Linked DNA regions of Sus scrofa. The protein of the gene in region 2 interacts with the protein of the main gene of each other region in a pairwise test. Links are inferred from orthologs where the notes say so. Each region holds a gene or a part of one and is shown on either strand. Other genes may lie near its edges. The genes, in order: SPINK7 and RABL6.

Region 1 (4,284 bases), on a different chromosome or scaffold from region 2:
GTGGCTCAGATCTGGCGTTGCTGTGGCCGTGATGCAGGCCAGCAGTAACAGCTCCGATTATAACCCTAGCCTGGGACCTCCACATGCTGCAGGTGCGGCCCTAAAAGGACAAAAAGACAAAACAAAAAACAAACAAAAAAACCTTCCCCTTTGTGAAATAAAATTTCCTGAATAGGAATCAGTACCTAGCTATGCCCTTCTAGGCTCAGGCCTTAACCTGATGTTTTAACTTAAGACCATCGCAGAGATGAGAAAGCACGAGATCTGAGAGAAGGGGCCACATCGAGAGGGCTTAACGGCAGTTACAGGGGGCGAAGGGGTCTTGGTGGGAGACAGGAACGCCGAGTTGCCTCTTTCTGCCCCCTGCCTCTTTTGACATTTGCCTGATTACACTCTCTTCAGGAATCCGCTGCAGGCCAAACAAAGTACTTAAACAGAACACGCCCGGAAGATCCTGGTCCAGCCTGCACCCCCCTATTTGCGTCCAAAGAGGGAAGGTTCCCTGTGGTGACCTTACCCTCCCCACCCCCAAAGCTGTGGCCACCGGGACACTGAGGAGGCAAAAGGCCCTCTGGGCACAGTTTATCTAAGAGGCATCCGATAAGGCTGTTGGGTCTCTTAGAAGTCCTGCAGGACAGTGATTTCAGTGATTTTCTAGCGTGAGATTCAGAAGCCCAATGAGAAATTACGTAGAATCCACTGCTGAAAATAACCTAAAGCTCACGGGGTGGGAGACCGCCCCGTGACCCCCTTCACCTCTTTGGTGACGCCTGACCTGTCTCTGCAGATCGTCTGGGCTCTGGGGACAGCGATTTGAACGCTCGTGGTCTGGTTAGACTCGGCCAGTCGCCAGACAGGAGTGAGAGATTGTGTCCTGGAGGAACTAGCCGAGCTGGCCGAGCAAGTGGCCCAACCCTAACCTGACAGCGAGGCGGCCAGTTTTCTCTCTCTCCCACCTGCTCTGGGGGGACCCAGTGCCGCTTGTGGAGAGTCACACAGGCTCCTGGAAAGAGGAGAGGACTGCCCTGGGATCCTGTCCCAGCTTCCCCTTTGTCCCCGCGGGGTACTCACAAGCTCTCGGTACACAGGTGGCATTCATTCCCGTAGGTGATATAGTCAGAACCACAAACAGGCAGGTATGTGATAGGGCAGGGGATGGCCACCACCGGGTACTTCCTGTAAACGCTGCAGTCCACCTGCAACCGACACGAGAGAATGCCCTGCTTGCCTCCTGGTCCTCGGGCTGGGCTGCCCTGGCCTCTGTGGCCCCGGGAGAGAGATACCCTCCTGGACGTCTGAGCTCTGCAGTATTCAGATGCTGTTACCGTTACGTCTGTGGTTAAAATAGGACCCTAATGCCACCAGCACCATTTCTGTTATTATTGGTACCCACCGTTAACAATTCCTGAGCATGAACAGCTGAATAGGGCAGGATCTACTCTTACCCCTGTTTACACGGGAGGGAAATTCAGGCTTAAAAAGAGAGCTTATAATGCAGAAGCTAGTCTAGTGGTAGGGATAGGATTTGAATCCAGAGCCCGTGCGAGGAACCAAAGTAACCCCCTCCCGACGCTCGCATGCTGTCCCTTCCGGGAAGACGTCACCAGCTTCTCAGACACAAGCTTCCCTCTTTTTAACTCTGGAATGGTTTTGTGGCTATAGTTATTTACGTGTATGCACGTCGTGTCTTCAGCTGCCTTCTGAGAAGCAGAGGCAGTTTCCTTACCGATGTGCGCCTTCCCTCTAATCCCTCCCAAGCATCCTGTGTGACTCCGACATACAGATTTCCTAAGGGTTTGCTGACTGAATGACGGTCAGTAGGAACTGAAGGTCAGATGCCGTTCTCTTTACTCACCTTTGTCAAAGGCAGGCTAGCAGCTTCTGAAAGAGAGACAAAGGGAAGTGTTAGAAGGAAGCCCAGTGGTGAGGTCCTGCAGGTCAGAACTCGGTAGTTCCTCTGGGGCGGAGTTTCAGCACCTACCCTGTCCTCACAAAATCCAGATGCTGTGGAAGCCAAATGCCCCATGGATTCGGGGAGCCCCGTGGTTTAAGTGGGAGAATTATCTAAATGATCTGAATTGCCTCCGTGTCTTGACCCTAGATGTTTTCTGGAGCTCCCTGTGTCTCTGGTCGTCTTTGGAGTCAGAGGCGAAAGAACGTGTTGCATCACCACTTCCAAGAGGCTGAAGCACCGTCTTTGATAGTCCCTCCCTCCTGATTGGGATAAGGAATGTAATGGAACATCTCTAAGGTGTTACGTCTGTTTTATCAAGTAGCTTTTCACCGTGTCAGAGTCGTTGCCTCCTGGGCGTAGGAGAACTGTGCTTCATTTCCCCCTTTCTGCCTTGATGTGGAGAGTCCCCCCCCCCCGGCTTGTCTGCATCATTGCCCTTAAGAGCATCTAATAACACCAGCCATTTCCAGTGTCCTTATGTAATGACAGACTTAGGGAAAAAATTCGTTCTCTCTTTTTTTCTTTTGGTTTCCACGCGTGAAAATGAAAATCCTTGAAAGGGAATACACTAGATCCAAATCCCTCAACCCCGGGTAGGATGTCAGAGTCTCCCTTCCCAGGGCAGGGCCGCATGACCAGAAATTTCTCTGAATTGCTGGCATCCCGTGAGGGATGATTTGAAAAACTAGGCTTAATGGCTGCAGAGGGCACTATGCCTCCTTAACTCACCCGAGCAGCTGCAGAGATGGGCCAGTGTACAGACCAGGAGGAGAGCCCCGGCGAGCTTCATGACGGCTGCGATGCCAAGGCTGCTCAGGGGCGCCACAGCCGCAGCGTCAGCCAGACCCTGGGAAAGGCTCCTGTTTATAAGGCGATGCTGGCTTCTCCACCTTTCCTGTGAGGTCATCCAGAGTCATTGTTGGCAGCACAGTATCACACCCTGGGTGATGGTGCAGTCCTTGTCCCTTAATTGCTGCTTCCTATCTGACCCACAGATTGATTATTTGAGGCGAGAAGTATTTTTCTGCCTGCTCTAGAGGCGGGGATTGTTGTTTTTAAAATCCTAAACCCCGTGAGTGGAAGAGACTAAATGCGGGTTGTTGGGCCTAAAGATGAAGTAGGTGAAAGGAGCGAACTTTATTTCACCGAGATAGAGGAGATTAAGCCACAATCAGACGGATTATACTTAGGTTTATATTTTGGCCCCTGCGAAGGTGTTTGATTTTCAAGGCACTAAACCCATGGGGTGCACAGGGACGTAGAGGGATCAGTGGCCTGAGCATCTGTAGACTTGGAGAACGGCATCAACATGTTCTAGTCGTGTGCGCTTGGGTAAGTCAGTTCGGAAGATCAGGTTGTCTGGTGGCACCAGGTAATCCCAAGCTTTCTGTGACTGGAAACAATACACGCTGATTTCACTCAGGCTGCACGGTGTGGCGGTCACTGACGGTTGCTTCGCCTTCCCTGGGTTCCGAGTAGACGGGGCAACACGATTTGGAATATTGCTCGTCTCAAGGCAAGATGAAGGCGCATTCTTGAGGGTTTCCACTTACAGCAGTTGAGTTTCCCAGCTCAGAAGCAACGCCTGGCGTAATCGTGGAGGTTACGGGGCTCCGTCTCACCTTGTCTCTTGAGGACAGGAAAGAGGTGGCACACAGAGAGCCCACACCAGAGCCTTAGCTTCGTGCCACGTCAGATGGGATCTACCTAGCCGCAGTTGCATTCGCATCTTTGGAATCATTTACATCCAAGTCTGTTCTAAATGTACCGCATGTAATTGTCACTCTGATGTTCTTATTATTGTTGACTGGCCAGGGGCTGCTCTTGGTGCTGACGTTAGATTGTAACTGTAACGTCCAGGCATAATTGTGCAGATGGCCGTTGTTTGTCTCTTGGAATTGAGGACATGTATGAAAACCCCGGGGCAGGCAGTTGACGTAGCTTCACCTTGATGGGCTTATTGTGTAGTTCGTTCTGAAGCATAGCACCAACAAAGGATGACAAACTAGTAATAAATGACTTTGCATGACTCCTTAAAATTTAAATCCCCACGTCTGTTTGGAAAGAGTATAATCTCTTAGTTAAGAATACATGCAGGAGTTCCTGTCGTGGCTCAGCAGAAACGAATCCAACTAGAAACCATGAGGTTGCAGGTTCAATCCCTGGAGTCGATCCAGCATTGCCGTGAGCTGTGGTGTAGGTGGCAGACACGGCTCAGATCCTGCGTTGCTGTGGCTGTGGGGTAGGCTGGCAGCTGTAGTTCCGGTTAGACTCCTAGCCTGGGAACCTCCATATGCACAGGGGGCAGCCCTAGAAAGTGAAAACAAACA
Region 2 (3,066 bases):
TCTTTCCATCCAGTGTCCGGGCGGGTGGAGGCCGCCACTGCCCTGGACAGGTCTGCACACGGCCCCCTCATAAACTGCATGGCGAGAGCCTCCCTTCTGGCCCCCACCCAAACAAGATGCTGAGCCAGGAAACTGCTTAGCAGAGGGGCGGGCCACTGATGCCCTTGGCTTCAAAGGCTAGGACCTGCCACACTGGAGTTCAGTGAAGGGGCCTGAGGCAAGTTTCAGGTTGGTGTGGCCCCTACATTAAGTAGCCACCGCAAAGACAGTCAACCTCACAGGCTGTGGGCTCATGGGGACCCTATGGACCCCCAGCAGCTGCTCAGTGACTGCTCTCCTGCTGCCGCCTGGGTGTGCAGCTCTCTCCGCACTGGAATTGGGGAGGGGGAGGCCTGGCCACCAGCCCCTCTCCCACGCCTGCAGGCAGTGTGCCCGCCTCCGGAGGGAGTTCTCATGGCAACTGTAAAGTGGTGGGTGGAGCGGAGCCCTGCCGGCAGCTGGAGGGGGTGGGGCTGCGGGGCTGAGGTCAGGGGAGCAGGTGGGAGCTTCCCCAGCGCACAGGACGGCGGCCATGCCGGATCCCCTGGATGGGGCTTGGCACGCGAAGGCCTGGGCTTGCCAGAGGCTGCCCAGGCCAAGGGCAGTGGGCCACCCCCCCAGAGAAAGGGCTCGGCGCCCTGAAGGCAGGGAGCTCAGGACCTTCCTGCCTGCCCGCGCTGCCCTGGGGCTAAGGGGGCGGTGGGCTGGTCCGACCTGGGCAGGGGCCCAGCGGCAGGGAGAAGCACACACAGACACGCAGTAAAACAGGAGCGCTTTATGGGCCGGGTGGTGGTGGAGGAGAGTGAGAGGAAATGAGAGTGCGGGGCCTCTGACCCGGCCTGTGCGCACGCCCGAGCTCGGGTGCAGGCGCAAAGCTAGACGCCATGCCTGGGGAGAGCCTCCCCCGAGAGAGGTGCCAGCGCTGCCCGGCGTCTGCACGCAGAGCCCCGAGGGCCGGGGGGACCGGCGGTCCGCAGCGCTGGCCGAGCCGCAGCAAGAAGCGGAGGCCACCCGCATGCAGCCGGCCGGGTGCGCGCGTGCGGGGGGCCGGGGGCAAGCAGGGCCCCACCCCTGTAAACAGCCTGGCAGGCCTCCTCGGCCTCAGTCCCATCCCTGAGAAGCGCTGGGGGCCGGCTGCCCGCAGAGCCCGCGGCCCCCTCCCCGCAGGGCAGGCCCCGCCCCCGCCCAGTGGGCGTGGTCGGCGGCGGCCGGGACTAGAGCTCCTCGTAGTCCCCGCCCCCGCGGGCGTGGCCGCCCGGGGCCCCGCCCCCCAGGAAGGCCTCCAGCTCCTCCACCGCAGTCCTCTCCGGGCCTCGCGGCCGCCGCCGCCGCCGCCTCTCCTCCCGGCCCTTGTCCTCTGCCTTGTCCTTGCTCTTCTTGTGCTTGCTCTTCTTCTTTGCTGCCTTTTCCTCCTCCTGGAGAGGGGACAGCACGGCGTCACGGGTGCCAGGAGAGCAGAACCCGCCTGGGATCCCACGCCGCCGGCGGGTGCCAGGGAGGCCCGGGGCCGGGGCTGTACCTCTCCGCTCTTCTTCTTCTTCTTCTTCTTCTCCCTCGAGGGAGCCTTGCCCTCCTTATCTGCAGGGATAAGGCACAAGGTCAGCTCCCTGGACCGGAGGCCAGGCCCCCTGTCTGGGCCTCCCGGGCTGGTATGGGGAGGGGAGGCCTGGGCTTGAGCCTGGGACTGGACAGAGGCCTCTAATCGCCCTGTCTGAGCCGGGTCCCCAGCAAGCACAGCCCAGAGAGAGCGCCCGGCTTCAGCCCCTGCCAGGTCCGGGGGGCCTGGCTCCAAAGGCAGCAGAAGCGCCCTGCTGTGGAGAGGCCCGTGCTTCAGCACCAGGACCAGCTCGCGAAGGTCCTCTCCTCTCCACGGCAGAGACAAGGAAGCTCCAGGACAGGCCCCAGCTGACACTGCTGGGCTCAAGCGGCCCAGGGTGGAGGGTGGGGATGGGGCTAGCGAGCCAGGGAGCTGGCCAGGGCCACACGGAGCCACAAGCCCTTATCAGGCCTGGAAGCCAGGCCAGCTGCTTCCGCGGAGGGCCGGAACGCAGGGCCGGACTGGGGGCCCAGAAGAGTTCTCGGCCAGCTCCCAGCAGCACTGCCCATGCCACCACATCCTGTGGTGTGGCCCCTAGGTCAGTCGTCCCCAGCTGCCATCCTCCCAGCCCAGTCGTGGCCTGCAGCCTCGTGCTCCCGCAAGTCTGGGATGTCGTCAGAAACACAGCTGCCTCCCAGCAGGCCGAGGAGAGCCTGGGACGGGGCTTCTGTCCCTGCGGGACGTCCTTGCTGCCCAGGCCCTCGCCTCACCCCCACGCTCTGGGCCCAGGTACAAAGGGACAGGGAAGGCGGTCAGAAAGAGGCCCCTGCCGGGCCACAGTCCAGTAGCCCCCCGCTACCTTCCCCGCTGCTCTCCTTCGGGCGGGTCTCCTCCAGCCCCAACCCAAAGAGATCAGCGTCGTTCTTCAGCCTGAAGGTGGGGGCAGGGGGCTTGGCGGGCGGAGGCGGCTGGACAGGGCCGGCGTCGTCGTCCGTCCCATCAGAGAGGTCCTCTCGCTCGGGGAACTCCCCCTGGAAAAGAAGCGGGCAGGTCAGCTGCCAGACCCGGCCCCAGCTCTCCGTCACATGACCCCGCAGGGAGGGGACCCTCCCCTTGTGGGCTCGCCCAGAGTGACAATGGCCTGAGTGTGGCAGCCATGATGCCGCCACCCCTGCACCGCATGTGCCTTCCCCGGGACAGGCGACAGGCCTGGGCCTTACCTACAGGCCCCCATGGGACAGCCCGGCCGAGGCCCCGTGGGCTGACCTGACTCTCCACCGTCACCCACCCGCCACCTGTCCGGGCGCCCAGGTCAGTCCTCACCGCTGTCCGCTGAGTATCTGAGTCGCTCTCAAAGTCAGGGTCGTCCATGACAAAGGACAGCATCTGGGCGGCAATGGGCCCCTCGGGGTCGCTCTCTGAGGACTCCTGCTTGTCCCTCCTGTCCTCGTGCCCTCGGGAGGAGCCCTCAGTGGGGGGCTTGGTGCCAC

Evidence for each region.
Region 1: the proteins of RABL6 (region 2) and SPINK7 interact in binary tests that used the Homo sapiens proteins (3 or more experiments, as listed by UniProt). The link is inferred for Sus scrofa from reciprocal best matches to the Homo sapiens genes RABL6 and SPINK7.

Annotation. Positions count from the first base shown.
Region 1 is NC_010444.4:149,610,194-149,614,477, reverse strand, and holds the start of SPINK7 (serine protease inhibitor Kazal-type 7), read right to left. Parts: upstream 3,108-4,284; 5' UTR 2,862-3,107; coding exon 2,684-2,861; intron 1,882-2,683; coding exon 1,856-1,881; intron 1,197-1,855; coding exon 1,072-1,196; intron 1-1,071. UniProt on the Homo sapiens protein: Probable serine protease inhibitor.
Region 2 is NW_018084833.1:984,943-988,008, forward strand, and holds the end of RABL6 (rab-like protein 6), read right to left. Parts: coding exon 2,900-3,066; intron 2,608-2,899; coding exon 2,436-2,607; intron 1,618-2,435; coding exon 1,559-1,617; intron 1,455-1,558; coding exon 1,254-1,454; 3' UTR 795-1,253; downstream 1-794. UniProt on the Homo sapiens protein: May enhance cellular proliferation. May reduce growth inhibitory activity of CDKN2A.